Linked DNA regions of Caenorhabditis elegans. The protein of the gene in region 1 interacts with the protein of each later gene in a pairwise test. Each region holds a gene or a part of one and is shown on either strand. Other genes may lie near its edges. The genes, in order: iars-1 and lin-36.

Evidence for each region.
Region 2: the proteins of iars-1 (region 1) and lin-36 interact in a two-hybrid assay, tested with the Caenorhabditis elegans proteins (3 studies listed by BioGRID).

The regions. Positions count from the first base shown.
Region 1 is NC_003282.8:10,366,303-10,373,707, forward strand, and holds iars-1 (Isoleucine--tRNA ligase, cytoplasmic), read left to right. Parts: upstream 1-2,304; 5' UTR 2,305-2,312; coding exon 2,313-2,416; intron 2,417-2,477; coding exon 2,478-3,366; intron 3,367-3,416; coding exon 3,417-3,931; intron 3,932-4,000; coding exon 4,001-4,250; intron 4,251-4,297; coding exon 4,298-4,558; intron 4,559-4,611; coding exon 4,612-5,250; intron 5,251-5,300; coding exon 5,301-5,819; intron 5,820-5,872; coding exon 5,873-5,998; intron 5,999-6,054; coding exon 6,055-6,177; 3' UTR 6,178-6,335; exon of another isoform or gene 6,336-6,363; coding exon of another isoform or gene 6,364-6,753; intron 6,754-6,793; downstream 6,794-7,405. Other genes in the region: pges-2 (Prostaglandin E synthase 2), read right to left, coding at 210-362, 411-525, 569-855, 905-1,057, 1,105-1,203, 1,252-1,488; mpz-5 (PDZ domain-containing protein), read right to left, coding at 6,364-6,753, 6,794-6,880, 6,927-7,052, 7,097-7,225, 7,305-7,405.
Region 2 is NC_003281.10:8,016,111-8,023,342, reverse strand, and holds lin-36 (Protein lin-36), read left to right. Parts: upstream 1-2,469; 5' UTR 2,470-2,472; coding exon 2,473-2,571; intron 2,572-2,627; coding exon 2,628-2,726; intron 2,727-2,801; coding exon 2,802-3,385; intron 3,386-3,486; coding exon 3,487-3,607; intron 3,608-3,682; coding exon 3,683-4,221; intron 4,222-4,322; coding exon 4,323-4,731; intron 4,732-4,854; coding exon 4,855-5,259; intron 5,260-5,325; coding exon 5,326-5,783; intron 5,784-5,831; coding exon 5,832-5,898; intron 5,899-6,113; coding exon 6,114-6,221; 3' UTR 6,222-6,695; downstream 6,696-7,232. Other genes in the region: F44B9.2 (uncharacterized protein), read right to left, coding at 113-224, 400-880; F44B9.5 (Lipid droplet-regulating VLDL assembly factor AUP1 homolog), read left to right, coding at 6,806-6,929, 6,997-7,144. UniProt on the Caenorhabditis elegans protein: Required to negatively regulate vulval development. Antagonizes Ras-mediated vulval induction. Acts cell autonomously.

The DNA.
Region 1 (7,405 bases):
TGCATGGCGCAAACTGCCGTCTTCATGAATGCAGAGTAAAACATGGTTTATTATGAGGGAAAAATGTAGAATTTTAACTAAAATGAGATCCTAGCTGGTAAAACATTGAATTGATTCAATAAGACAAATAGGATGAGAAAGATAACAAAAACACAGCAAACAATAAGGCACTAAATCAAGGACTAGTCTATATTAACAATTTCAATCTTTTATTTTTGACTTCTTGATTCCAATGCTTTTCTTCCATCGTGGTTTTTGACAAGTGCATCCATTTTTCGCCACCATTCAGCAATTTTTTCTTCTAAAATAACTTCTTTGAACGCTGAGCATCCATAGAAAGAATTCATAGCTCCATATAATGACTGAAAATATATCAGATTGTAAATCCTTCTCCAAAAAATCAAACCAACCAGATCAGCTAGATTCGGTTCATCTCCTCCTAAAAACTGTCTATTTGGTCCAATTGCTGCCATCCAGTCACGACAAGCCTTTCTCAATTCTTCTCGTTCATCATTGATGTTGTGCCTTTAATATCAGAAATCATGATATAAACTTCTAACTAACTTACTTTTTCTTCAATGTTTTTGAAAGTAAAAACATTGCTGCTGCACCCACGTATACCGCTAGAACTCTCTCCCAGGCTGGAAAAGTACGATGCCAGTCGCCAACTTGTTCGAACCAACGGAATGTCTCGACAGACTCATTCCAATTACGATATACATTAGGAGAAATAAGATGGATGAACCAATTGTCCACCCATTCTCTCCATTCCCGCTCTTCTCTGGCAGAAGCCATATTTGCGTCCCCGTCTACTTTTCCCTTCATAACGAAGAATTTGTTAGGGTAGTTGAGAACCTGAATCAGCAAGGATGTTTTAAAATTGCAGAGTAATTCAAAAACCCACTGGCTTTCCTTTCTCGTTTGTTGAATCAACTGCTGGATACATTTGTATTATCTGGTCGAGTGACTGATCGGGTCTTTGAAGATATGTTGCCAATGTGGAAATAATCAAAGTAGACTCGGTCATAGTTGTCTCGCCACTCCTGAGAATTGGAACCTGAAAGAAAATAGATAAAACAACCGGAAATGTGAATGAAAACTTACTTTTTTATAAGTTGTGCTAAACTTGATCTGTGATCTAGTGACTGGATTTACTTCTACAACCTCATAGGAGAATCCGTGATAATCTAAGAAGGCTCGAACCTGTATTTTTGATTAATAGTTTTCATACTTCACACAAGAGTAACGCACCTTGCAACAGAACGGGCAAGTCTCGTATTGATACAATCGGAGCTTCAAGTTTGACTTATCCAGGTGATTAATAACTTTTCGACTGAGGAGGACATCATTCTGCACTTTCTCGGGTTGCTGAACTTGAATTGGGCATGTTCTGAGTTTTGCTGTTTGGATATCGTCCAGCTTTGATCCTCCCCACGAGAATCCAGCCAAAGAAGCAATCTGGACTGTCCGTACACCAAAAAAACGCATCTGAAAACTAAAAAATGAATTTTCAGTTCATTAAAAGAAAACGGGCGGAAAAACACAACGGATCGGTTACATTCATACAAATTTCACTGAAAAAACGCAAGAAATGCGCTTTTTCTCGCGAGAAACCGTTTTCCACTACGGGGAATATCAAATTTAAATCAGCTTCATATTAACTTTCACTTTATTTGTCTGAAAACGGACTGTAATTCATAAAAAAAAATTTTCGGCGAATTAAAAAGACGGGAAATCGTGGCGAGACCCTGCTGAATAAATGCATGCGCCTTTAAAAAATTGTTTTATTTGGAGTTCCCATTTTCCAGTTTTCTTCTTATTTTGATCGGTTTTTCATGCAATTCCGATGTTTTTTGTCATTTAAGTTTGTTGAAAATAACAACTAAATAACATTTCATTTAACTCAAGTACTTATCTGACTGCTTTAGAAGAGGTTCCCATGTTTTTGGTAGTATTTCATTTGTATACATCTCTTTCTACACTGGAATAGTTTATCTCACGCTACTGATGGTGTCAATTTAATGTTTTCTTACTAACTAGATGAAAACTTGGTAAAATTACTCGAAGATGTGCCTTCTAGATACGAAACTATGCCTTAAATTGTCCTTGATAACGTTTCCGTTAACACCACCAATTATTCAAATAAATATATCATATTTTAGTATGACGAATATTTAAAAAATTACTACTTCCATCAAAATTTCGCAATACGCAATAAAGAATGTTGCATCAGATTTCATGTGATTGCGTTGTTATTTATGTTAGTCGCCTAGTGTCTAACTTTCGCATATTTAAAATTTACAGGGTAAAAAATGAGCGGCCTTTCGACCGTTCCCGACAACATCAATTTTGCCAGAGAAGAAGATAAAGTCGCTCAAAAATGGCAAGATGAGAATACTTTCCAACGTTCTGTTGAGTTAGTTTTTTTTTAAATATTCTGGAATTGTTCACATTGAAAAAAAAAACGTTATCTTCAGGCTGTCAAAAGATCGTCCACATTTCACTTTTTATGATGGACCACCTTTCGCTACTGGCCTTCCTCATTATGGTCATATGCTTACCAGCACCATCAAAGACGTTGTTGGTCGCTGGGCTCATCAAAACGGTCACTATGTAGAAAGACGGTTTGGTTGGGATACTCATGGTCTTCCAGTCGAATACGAAATCGATAAGACGCTTGGAATCAGTGGTCCACAAGATGTCATGAAAATGGGAATCGCTAATTACAACAATGAATGCCGAAAGATCGTTATGAGATATTCTGGCGAATGGGAGAAAACAATGGGACGTCTTGGTCGCTGGGTAGACTTCAAGCATGATTACAAGACTCTCTACCCGTGGTTCATGGAGTCTGTATGGTGGGCTTTCAGCGAGTTGCATAAGAAGGGCCTTGTCTACAAAGGTGTAAAAGTTATGCCTTTCTCTACTGCTTGTTCTACTCCACTCTCCAACTTTGAAGCTGGTCAGAATTACAAAGATGTAGTAGATCCAGCAGTATTCGTCGGATTCAAATTACTCGATTGTCCGAATAGGCAGCTAGTTGCATGGACAACAACTCCATGGACACTTCCATCCAATCTAGCTCTAGTTGTTCATCCAGACATGCTGTATGTGGTCACTAAAGATAAAACGACTGGAATCGAATACGTTGTTCTGGAAGAACGTCTCGGAGAGTTGAAAAATGATAATTTGGAAGTTATTGAGAAACTTGCTGGTAGTCAGCTCAAAGATCTCAGGTATGAACCATTGTTCCCATACTTTGCCTATATGCGCGAAGAAAGAAACGCATTCCGGGTATTGAATGACACTTTTGTCACCTCTGACTCTGGTACCGGAGTTGTTCATCAAGCACCATATTTCGGAGAGGTAAGATTCCTTTTTTTCTTTTCTTTTTTTATATAAAAAATACTTTCCAGATCGATTTCCAAGTTTGTGTGGCGAATGGAGTTATCGCTAAAGACCAAAAAATGATCTGTCCAGTTGATGAAAGTGGAAAATACACATCAGAAGTTCCAGATTATCAAGGAGTCTACGTGAAAGATGCTGATAAGTTGATTATCAAGAGACTCAAGGAAATGGGAAATCTTGTCAGACAAGCGGAAGTGAAGCACTCCTATCCATTCTGTTGGCGGTCTGACACTCCACTTCTCTATAAGGCTGTTCCATCCTGGTTCATCAACGTCGAAACCCTGATTCCAAGGCTTCTGGCTAACAATGATGAGACATACTGGGTTCCCGCTTTTGTCAAGGAAAAGAGATTTGCTAACTGGCTTAGAGATGCTCGCGATTGGGCTGTATCGAGAAATCGGTTCTGGGGAACTCCAATCAATTTGTGGGTGAGCGAAGATGGAGAGGAAGTTGTATGTGTTGGAAGTATTGCTGAATTAGAAGAGCTTTCAGGACAAAAAATCACTGATCTTCATAGAGAAAGGTTTGTTAAAAAACATGTTACTATTCATAAAATACGATGACTTTATAAATTAACAGTGCAAATTTCCAGCGTTGATGATGTTACGATCCCATCTCGTTCAGGACGGGGAGTTCTCAAGAGGGTTTCCGAAGTTTTTGATTGTTGGTTTGAATCAGGATCCATGCCATATGCCCAGAATCATTATCCATTTGAGAACCGCAAAATCTTCGAAGACAATTTCCCAGCTGATTTCATCGCTGAAGGAATTGACCAAACCCGTGGGTGGTTTTACACACTTCTAGTTCTGTCAACTGCTTTGTTCAACAAGCCACCATTCAAGGTTCGTACAATTTCAATATTTTAATTTAAATCAAAAATGTTTTCCAGAACCTGATCTGTAACGGACTCGTATTGGCGTCGGATGGAGCAAAAATGTCAAAGAGTAAGAAGAACTATCCCGATCCAATGCTCATTGTTAACAAGTACGGAGCCGATGCTTTGCGTCTTTATCTCATCAACTCTCCTGTGGTTAGAGGAGAAAATTTGAGATTCAGAGAAGAAGGCGTAAGAGATCTTCTCAAGGATGTGTTCCTTCCATGGTTTAATGCCTACAGATTCTTTGTACAAAACGTACAAGCATATGAACATGTAAGTTTATTCATGTTGAAACAATTATGAGATTGAAATATTATCGTTTTTAGGAAACTGGAAATGTGTTTGACATGAACGTTCATGTTGCCAGTGAAAATGTCATGGATCGGTGGATTGAATCCTTTACAAACAGTCTTGTTGCGTTTGTTCGGAAAGAAATGGATAGTTATCGGCTTTATGCTGTTGTTGGACCGCTTACAAAATTCTTTGACACTCTTACAAATATCTACATCAGATTAAATAGAAAGAGAGTCAAGGGAGACAACGGACTTCATGAGCAACATCACGCTTTGGCAGCCCTCGGACGAGTTCTCATTTTGATTGTTAGATTGATGGCTCCTTTCACACCATTCTTCTGCGAGTATATCTGGCTAAATTTGAAGAAAGTCATTGGTTCGACTGAGGAATCAGTTCACTTCCTGATGCTCCCAAAACCGGATGAGAGTCTAATCGACGAGACTGTGGAAAGACGAGTTGAAGTTATGAGAAATGTTATCGACTTGGTTCGTCTTGTTCGCGATCGTGAAGGACTTGCTGTGAAATATCCATTGAAGGAAATGATTGTTATTAACAGAGACAGTCAGTTTTTGGAAGACGTAAAAAGTTTGGAATCATATATTCTTCTTGAGTTGAACGTCAGAAAATTGACCGTTTCACAAGATAAACAGAAATACGGAATCACCCTAAAGGTATTAAAATTTCAAAAAGTTTGTTCAAAATATAATACTTAAAATTACAGGCAGAGCCAAACTTCAAAATTCTGGGTGCTCGTCTCAAGGGAGAACAAAAGAAGGTTGCTGACTACTTGAAGAACCAAATCACTGAATCTGAGTTGGAGAAATTCCTTCTTGAAGGAAAATTGACTGTGCTTGGGCATGAGCTCTCCTCGGAAGAAGTTGCTGTTAGCTACGCGGCTGGAAGTGATCAAGGACATGGATACAAAACTCACTCGGATGCAAAGACCATTGTAATGATTGATACAACTGAAGATGAGTCTCTTATTGAAGAAGGACTCTGCAGAGAAGTGACAAATCGTGTTCAACGTCTTCGCAAACAGGCTAAACTTGTATCTACTGATACTGCTCATGTTCATATTGTTGTTAGTCCAGCTGATTCTCAACTCGCAAAGGTTGTTGCTGCCAAATTGAATGACATTGTATCCGCTACTGGAACACCTATCAAGTTGGGATCACCACCAGCCGCTGCAAAGGCTCCAACTGCCACCAGCAAGAGTGCAATTAAGGATTCAGAAGTTGAGGTAAATTCCGTTTTTGTTGATGTTCTCTAATATTCCTGAACAATTATTTTCAGCTTTGGTTGTTCGCCGAAGGTGACAGTTTCGATGGGATCACTGTTGTTGATGGATCAAAGAAAGTTCGAGTTCATGTGAAAACAGAAAAAGAACACCTGAAGGGATATGCTGATCTTCTATATCACGTATGTTTATCGGGTTTTCCTAGAAATTTAAAATGTTAAATCTGTTTTTGTTTCAGGTTCGCTCTGCTCTTGATCTCTGGAACGGTAAGATTGCCTTGAAGAATGTCGATGGATCGGCGGTCCATCCAACAGTTGACGTGACGTCTCTTGTTGGTCAGACTCTTCAACTCGTACGATAAATTGCTATTACATCTTTAAATTATCCATATCCGGTTCGCATTTTAGTTCCTGGCTTTATTTGAACCCATTTGAACCGCAGTTTTTCTCATATTTGTTTCTTACACTATTTTGTTTGCTGTTAACGTATAATATTTAATTATGAATGTTTAAGGATTTTAATGTAGAAACTTTATTATCAGAGAAATTCAGCTAGCATTTTTACACGCTCTCAGTTTAGCAGGATCAATGTCACTAACGATCTGATGTTCTGTACGTCCCTCTTTCAATTTGATGTTTTTCTTCTTATCTCCTTTCTTCGGTTGTTGTGGTAGATATCCTTTCCCCAATTTTCTGAACTCCTCTACCGCCTTATCAGCAATTGCCACAACATCATCTGCCAAATCAATGTGATCTCTGAGAATATCTCGAATTGGTGCTTCAATAAGAAGCGTAAAGTGTCCAGAAGAAGCGATGCTGCTCGCAATACAATAACGGAGCATGCTCTTCGAGCAAATTGCCTGAGAATTACACTCCCGAATGACATCTCCAGATTTCAGATGGATGGATGCTAAGCTGTTTGGAGTAACATAATCAACCTGAAAATGAAATGCGGTGGTTACTGTAAGTTTAAATTACCTCCAAACGATCTCTATTGTTATATTTGACAAATAATCCCAAGTCAATGAATTGCATTTCAGGAGTTGGACGAACTTTTATGAGAACCTAAAATAAGAAAGTTTTTTTTTTAATTTTTAAAAAGCTGTCTCACAAAGTAATGGTTAACAGGATTTGGAGTGATTCTCTCTAAATCTCTGTCAATTTGGATTTTCTCAACAGTTGTTCGAATATGAAAACACCAGGAAAACATGTTACGTTTCAGTTGTAGATGAATATTCTGAAATTTTCGTTTGCAAACACTCGATTCAGAAATATTAACACCTCAGTTTTCTCTTTCAACTTTTGGTGCAACTCGTCACTAGTGTGGATAACTTTTTCATCGATTGCAGTGATACAATCACCTAGAAATGCTTTTCCAATAAGATGTGATTCAGGAAGGACATGTGTGATCTGAATATGAATTATGTATGGTGTCCCAAAATCAAGATCAAGAGCTCAAGAATTTGAATAAATACTATTTGACAATTACCCGACAATCCTGCTTGTGTACACGAACTCCTATTGGCTTTCGAATCATGAAATGGTCGATCAATTCCTTTGGCAAAAGCTTGTCAATGTTGAAATCTTTAT
Region 2 (7,232 bases), on another chromosome or scaffold:
GGAACTCAAGCTTAGGCTATAAGATAGCTATACCTGATTTTTTTCTCTTCAAAATTACTAAAATTGAAAAGTTCATTAAACTGTCTTGTTGCTTGTCAAACAAACAACTTACTCCTTTGCAACGAATTTAGTATTTTCAGCAACTTGTTTTGATTTTTTATCGAAATCCTCTAGAATATCATTTGCCTCTCGGATGGCGGTGTTGAATTTTCGCTCACATTCACCTGAAAATTGAAAATTAGAATTCTGTTTGGAAGATGGGAAAAATAAATTAATGAATCGAATTAACGAGAAGCCAATTTTGTAACCATGTAAACGGTTTTCATTACGGACAGCTTTCGCATGACTGATCTCCGAAGAAATAATATTAATAAAGAGTAATTTCTTTATAACACTTACTGATATCAAAACTCATGCTGTTATCATCAACTGAATTTGGAGTTTTTGGATCCAACTTTGCGGAGAGTTGATCATTTTGTTGTTGATCTTTAATCTCATTTTCTTTTTCCACTATTACATTCTGCTTAGCCTCAACTTCTGGTTCGGGTTCTGGAACTGGTTCTGGTGCAAGTGCAGCTAAAATTAAAGCTGGAATATCCTGAGCAGGAGCTGCATCTGGAACTGTTGAAAGCACCATTGGAGTTATCTGTGGGGCTAATGGAGCAGCTGGAGGAGTTGGTGGTGGAGCACTGATTGTGACTTCAGGTGGTCCATTTGATACAGAAATAGTTTCAACTGATTTTAGAATTGGTTTATCAAATGCATCACTCAATACAGGTGCAGCTTCAATGATAGTTGCTGGAGTTGTTGGAGATGTTGGAACTGATGATTGAGCTGTATCTTCACGAATCCAAACTATATCATCTTCATCGTCAGCCATCTAAAAATAGAAATTGTACTGAGTTTTGATGCTTCATAAAGTAGAAAAAGTATGCGAGATTGGTTTTATTCAAAAAAAACTCTTGTAGTAGTAGTGATATGGATGGCATGTTGGTTGTTTTGTTGGCAATAGAGAAATTGGCAGAACGACGGAAGAGGGTTTAGAGGCCATTTTTACACTGTTTTGAGCCCGCCTGAGTGAGCATTAAACACTGAATAGTGTGTAAGATGAAGATACGCAGAGTTGCACACGGACTTGATCAGTGAAATCGGGGGAGGAGAAGGAAGGGATCCGAGAGATTTTAGACTTGAGAAGTGAAGATAGGTTTTTGGAAAATTGACACCTGGAAATTTAAGATTCATGCATGAACATTTACGCGAGCTACAATTTATTGTAACTTGATTAAACCATGAAACAATTTTTTTACAAATGCTTCCCTAGAGAGGCCGGATATTAAAAGTACAGATGGCAGAAAACTTTCATTTGTGTGAGTACGGTAGTCTGATTGTTTGTTATTGAGTTTAAGAATTTTTCACTATTTGTTTTTTAATGTGTTTCTTGTCTTTGGGGGTTTAAGTCGACTCCCAATAAGAAGTTATACCGTAATCGCTTTTATGAAGAGATGTCTAATGACTTGTCATCTTTGAAATCTTTTGCTCGTGCTAAGTATTGTATTCAGACGAATAATACATTATAATTTTCGAAAAATGTAATCACTTCACAAGCCAGGGCAAGAATTGCGCTTCTGTATGAGCTGTCACCAGATTATGATTTTTAATTGTGTACGGAAGAAAAATTGAGAGCATCTTAAGAGGAAGATGCATCTTCTGAAATAATTTTTCTAAATAAAAATCAGAATTATTTTTCAGCATTCCACCCAGATTACGTGTCTGTTATAATCGTTTCTGGAAGACATTCTATTAGATACCGTACCCCGAAAACTAGAAATCCTATTTCTAGTTTTCGGGGTACGGTATCTAATAGAATATGAGTACCTGAGTAAACATCACTTACTATACGCATATGTTTGCTCAAGCTTCTACTATACCTGAACCTAGAGAAAACTGTCTTCCGTTCGATTTAATTTGGCAACGAAATGTTCCAAGCTTATGATGTTCCCGTTGTAATTAATTAATTCCCCTGCTTTAAATCACTTATTGTTAACGAATATGTACTTCTCAAACTCCTGGTGTTATCTCCGTGGTATTTTGGATAAATTGGTGTCAATCATTTATACAAATGACCTGTCTCCATATTGATATCATCAATTCAACGTCCCTCCAGTTCCAAGTCGCTTGTTCGGCGAGAGAGCGTAGCAAACGGAGAGACGTCATAGAAAAAGTACGCAACCGCGCGTGGCGGTGTTTGCGTACATCAGATGAGTGGGAGCCAGAATTGTACAAAAATTGGCCGGACAATTATCGATTTTTACACTTTCGACTCATTTTTCACTTATTATCAATGTTTTTCGTTATTATTTGTATCTCTTGAGCGTTTTAAACAATTAAATTCACTGTATTTTCTGTTTTTGTGCTCAAAATGTGTAGAATTTGCAAAAGAAAGGCTTTTCCAAAAATATTTGATTGCAGGAAATGTCGGAAGAATTGCTGAGTACTAGACCCAGTAAAAGGGATTATAATGATATTGAAGAACCAGAAGACTCACACGTGACGGTGCACTCAGTTGAACAGGTATGGTGATAATTGAGAAACATTCTCGCCGCTTATGAATATCAATGCATTTTTAGGATTCACAGCATTCTGGTGAAGAATCCTCAACTGTAGACGCATTGCAGGAAACTGAGGGTGATGTTGACGTAATAGGAGAAGATGAGGACGAACACGATGTACGTTTACATTTTCATTCTCGTATTAATGCATGTGCCCATTGGCCGGAATAGAATACATCATTTTATTTTCAGATTCCCGTAATGCCAACTGTCACATCAAGTGGTGAAGTTCTTGATGAAAGCCAAGTCACTCCAACTAAACAAGCTTCGTCGTCACAACCAAGAGAAGAAATTATCCACGGCAAAGGCGAAAGTGTCTACTCCAGTTTTCCGTGCCAAGTTATTCCGGAGACTTTAAGCCGAATGACACGAACTCCGCCAGATGGAGAGCATTTAGAAGTGTACCGGATGTCAAATGGGAGACTGAGAATATATGTTGTTGATCATTTCAAGAAGTTTTCTCCATACTCCAATTTGACTCATAAGCCATGTACAGTTTGTAATCGAGTAATGAAATCGGGAGAGATGCATCTAAACTTCCCAGCAGACTTGGATAGGCGCAGAATTTGGGCAAATTTGCTTGGATTCAAATACAAAGATATTCTTCGCAGTAAAATGGGTCCTGTATCGTTTTCAATTGCTGCCGGTCCAATTTGTACTGAGCACTTCGCCGAGGAGTGCTTCAGGAATCACAATTTCAACAAATCTGCCATCGAAGCTTTTGGAGTTCCTGTTGCTATTTCACCAGACGTTAAGACGACACCGAGTAAAAAAAGGTAAGAAGAAAAGCTGGTTCTGCTCGAAACGAAAAAGCTTGTGAATGAATATGTTAGCTCGATTTTTGGCTAAAACATCCTCTTTCACGATTTTATAAAAGTTCCAGAGTGCCATGGGTCTGTACCGTATGTGAGTTCCACTCGTGCAGTGTTGTCGAGCTTCAGACACATCTTCTCAATCACACGGAGGAAATGCTCAAGAAAAAAGATAATGTTTTGGATGTAAGTTCAAGCTTTTTAGTTAATACTCTTATTTTATCACATAATTCTTATAACAAAAATTAATATTTTTCACAGGTCCCAGAAGCTGGCTTCATGTGCCCATTCTGTAGAAAATGCACATATGGTTACAAGACAATATCTGGATATCGTCGTCACTTGAATGCTGGCCCCATTCATCATTGTCATCTTCGTAGAATATATGAATTCGCTAAAATGAACTGCCGCGCTACTGAGTTGGATCCAGCGGAAAGCTGGGATAACTGGACTCGTCGCAACGTTTATGTGGCATATCACGGCTGTGAACCACCAGCAAATGAAATCGTACTCACACCTTCACCAACGAAAAAAGCCTACGTGCAAAATCCAGAAGAGCGTACGAAAATGGTTCACGATGAAGAGAAGAGAAAGAAGGCAGTGAGGACATTATCGTTTGTTGGAAAAGAAGGTGGTACAAGTGTGAATGATCTGAACGTAATGCAGCGACAAGTGTTTCTGCAATTGAGAAGAGAAGCAGAGATTAATACAAAAGCAGAAGAATCGGCTCAAGGAACGAAGGAGCAAGAGAGCAGTCAGAAAAAACATGCAGAAGAAGAGTCAGACGATGTTTCTGAACTGTAAGTTTTGTCAAAAAATGTTCGAGTTAGAGAACATCCTGCGTAACGAAATTTAAAAAATCTTACTAAATGGAAATCAAAGAAGCAATTAAATTTTTTAGAACTTCCCATCAGTCTCCACAAGCTCCAATGGGATCTGGTGAACGACGTAAAGCAACACGTCTCGCAACTTCCGCTACAAATTCACCAATCAAGAAGGTGGCAAAACACGAAGTTCCTGCTACAGCTCCATCAACTCCAGCTAAGAAACGGAAAATTTCACACGAAGAAGAACACGATCCAACTCCTGAAAGTGTAGAGAGAGAACCAACAGTTTCACCAAATGATCCACGTGAACGTCTTCGTTTGAAGGAACGAGATGAACAATTTGCCAAAATGGTTCAGAAAAGATCTCAGCAAGTTAAGCGATTGATCAATGCCAAACAATTCAAGAAACAAGAAGCAGCAACGAAGAAGCCGAGAAAGGCCTTGGCTTATAATTTGGCCAAAGGGATCGCTGCTACTTCTTCGGTGAGTTTTATTTACTGAATTTATTAAATAATAGATTAGAACTTAATTTGTAACTTTTGAAATTCCTCTTTTACTTTGTAGCATGTTGAAATTCGAATTACTAGGATAATGTTTTTTATTCAGACGGAGCCAGAAGACAAAGTGACATCTTCGGAGCAGACACCAGAACCGACAACAAGTCAAAAATTTATCGCCAGAAATACACGATCGAAAACTAAGGAGAGTGCTGTTCAAAAAGTTGAAAAACCAGCAACTCCTGTCGCAAAACCGGCACCAGTAGAAAAAGAGCCGGAAGAACGCCCTCTAAAATCAATGCTCGCGAGATCTTTTGTTGCTGGAGTTCGTCCTTCGATGGCTAAATATCAGATTCCATTAGAATCGTTCACAGCTACTGCATCACTTGGTGGAGGACGTTCATTATCTTCTGGAGTCATATCAAGACCACCAACTTCATCCTCTCCTGGCGGGATCTTTTCTCAAAGAGTTATGGGAGCTGTTGCACAAGAAAAAGGGCCTGCTAAGAGACCGGTAAGTTTAATATATTAGAATTATTTATTAGGAGACTTTGATATTTTTTCTAATTTATTGCTTCAGAGTGTGCTCTCCCGAAGACCACTGATCCTTTCACCACGAAAAAAAACATCAACTCCACGACCAACACTCTCCCATCACGAGTCATCGCCAAACTTCTCAGCATCTTCTCCGGTGGTTGTTTCTGATGAGTATCTGATTCCAGCAACGGATATGGAAGTTGAAATGGTCGAAGAAGTCATTGATTCTATGGGAAACTCATCGTCTGAAGATGTTGCCACTTCTTCAACATCTTCCGAGAGGCAACCGATGCTTACGCTGGCAGAGGCTCTTGAGATGGATGGTTCAAGTGGAACAGTTAAAGATCAAGATATGGAAGAAATCTCAAAAGAAATGATGAAAGATGCTCATTACTACAGAGCAATGGAAGACGCTATCAAATGTCGCACCGTGACGAAAATGCGCGCTGACATGAGACTTTCCCGTCATTGCATCCGGCAAATTGAAGCTGCGAGAGCCAGGTGAGCCCATGGGAGGTCTACTTTGATAAATCGTTTAATTTTTTGCAGAGCTCGTCTGTTTGGCGAAAGGACTGAAGATTATCAAATTTTCTACTCTAACGATGGAGCACAAGTGGTATGTTTTTATTAGTTTCAATTCTGAATTTTAGTAACAATTTTCGTTTTTTAAAAGATTTTATTTATGTTGTTCTCAATTTGAAACCATTTGCTTTGAAAAAATTCCGATTGAAACATCAAAAATCACTGATCACAACACAATTTATTTTAAAAACATGTTTTCTCCGCTATTTGGCGTTATCAATCAGTTTGTTTCATTCTTATGATTTTCAGCTCACCAAAAAAGATCCAAAATGGCGTGAACTTCAACAACAACAACAACAACAACAACAGCAGCAAGAACAATTTCCAGGACAAGGATCATCGGATTCTCAACAATAATTATTTTTAATTATCAAAGAAAGTGCCTCAAAATTCAAGATTCAAAAGTCAATTGTCCTTTCGAGGATCGCCCCACATTTCTTTCATGTGAACTATCTCTGTTTTATATCCACAGAAGTTATCCCATTTTACTTTCATTCGAAATTCTTGAAATCTGATAAAAACTCCGACTAGGATAGATTTTCGTCTAGATTTTTAGGATTTTCACATTTACTTTTTTCCCATTTTTTACCCCCCCTCCCCCCTATAATTTACTTTCCAAAATTAATAGTTTGTTTTACTTTCCATAAGCCCCCGCCCCCTCCCCAAAAACCACACTTTTTCTATCATAAATTAATCTGAATTATTCACAAAAAATGAGCCAAAGTCTATTTAAACGTTTCCCTAGTTTTCAATTACATTCAAGTTTGAAAGATATGTGCGTTTGTGTGCCAAATATGACTAAAAGTCAATAAATAAATGATTTTGCTTGGTAGGTTTTTGAAAAGAGTTTTCAGATTATTTTTTCTATAGGCTACCTGATTATCCATAACATTATATTTTGAAAAAACCATGAAAAATTTAAAAAAATCCTAAAATTTAGAATGGCATCACCAGAAGCATCGTCTTCTGGAAATACAGAAGATCTTCGTATCGAAGATTTATTCCATCAAAAACGAAATGAAGATACGATTGCTAAAATATTTTCGATTATTTATGCTCCAGTTGGTGAGATTTTTTTCAAATTTTTTGACACATTCCAAAAAGTAAAAGTTTTAAAAAATCAAAATTTCAGGTTTAATTATTCTTTTAATTCGTGTTTTCCTCGGTTTCCACACATTTATTGTTGCATGTCTACTCAGAAAATCTGCTGCTTTGAGAATGCACACTCTTCGAATTATGTGCTCAATTCTCGGAATTGTCGTTGAAAAATCTGGTCACAGGTTTGTGATTTTTTTTTTGAAAAATATTTGATATCTCCAAAAAAATAGAAACAAGTTACTGAAAAATTGGAAGCTTGCCGTATTGCCC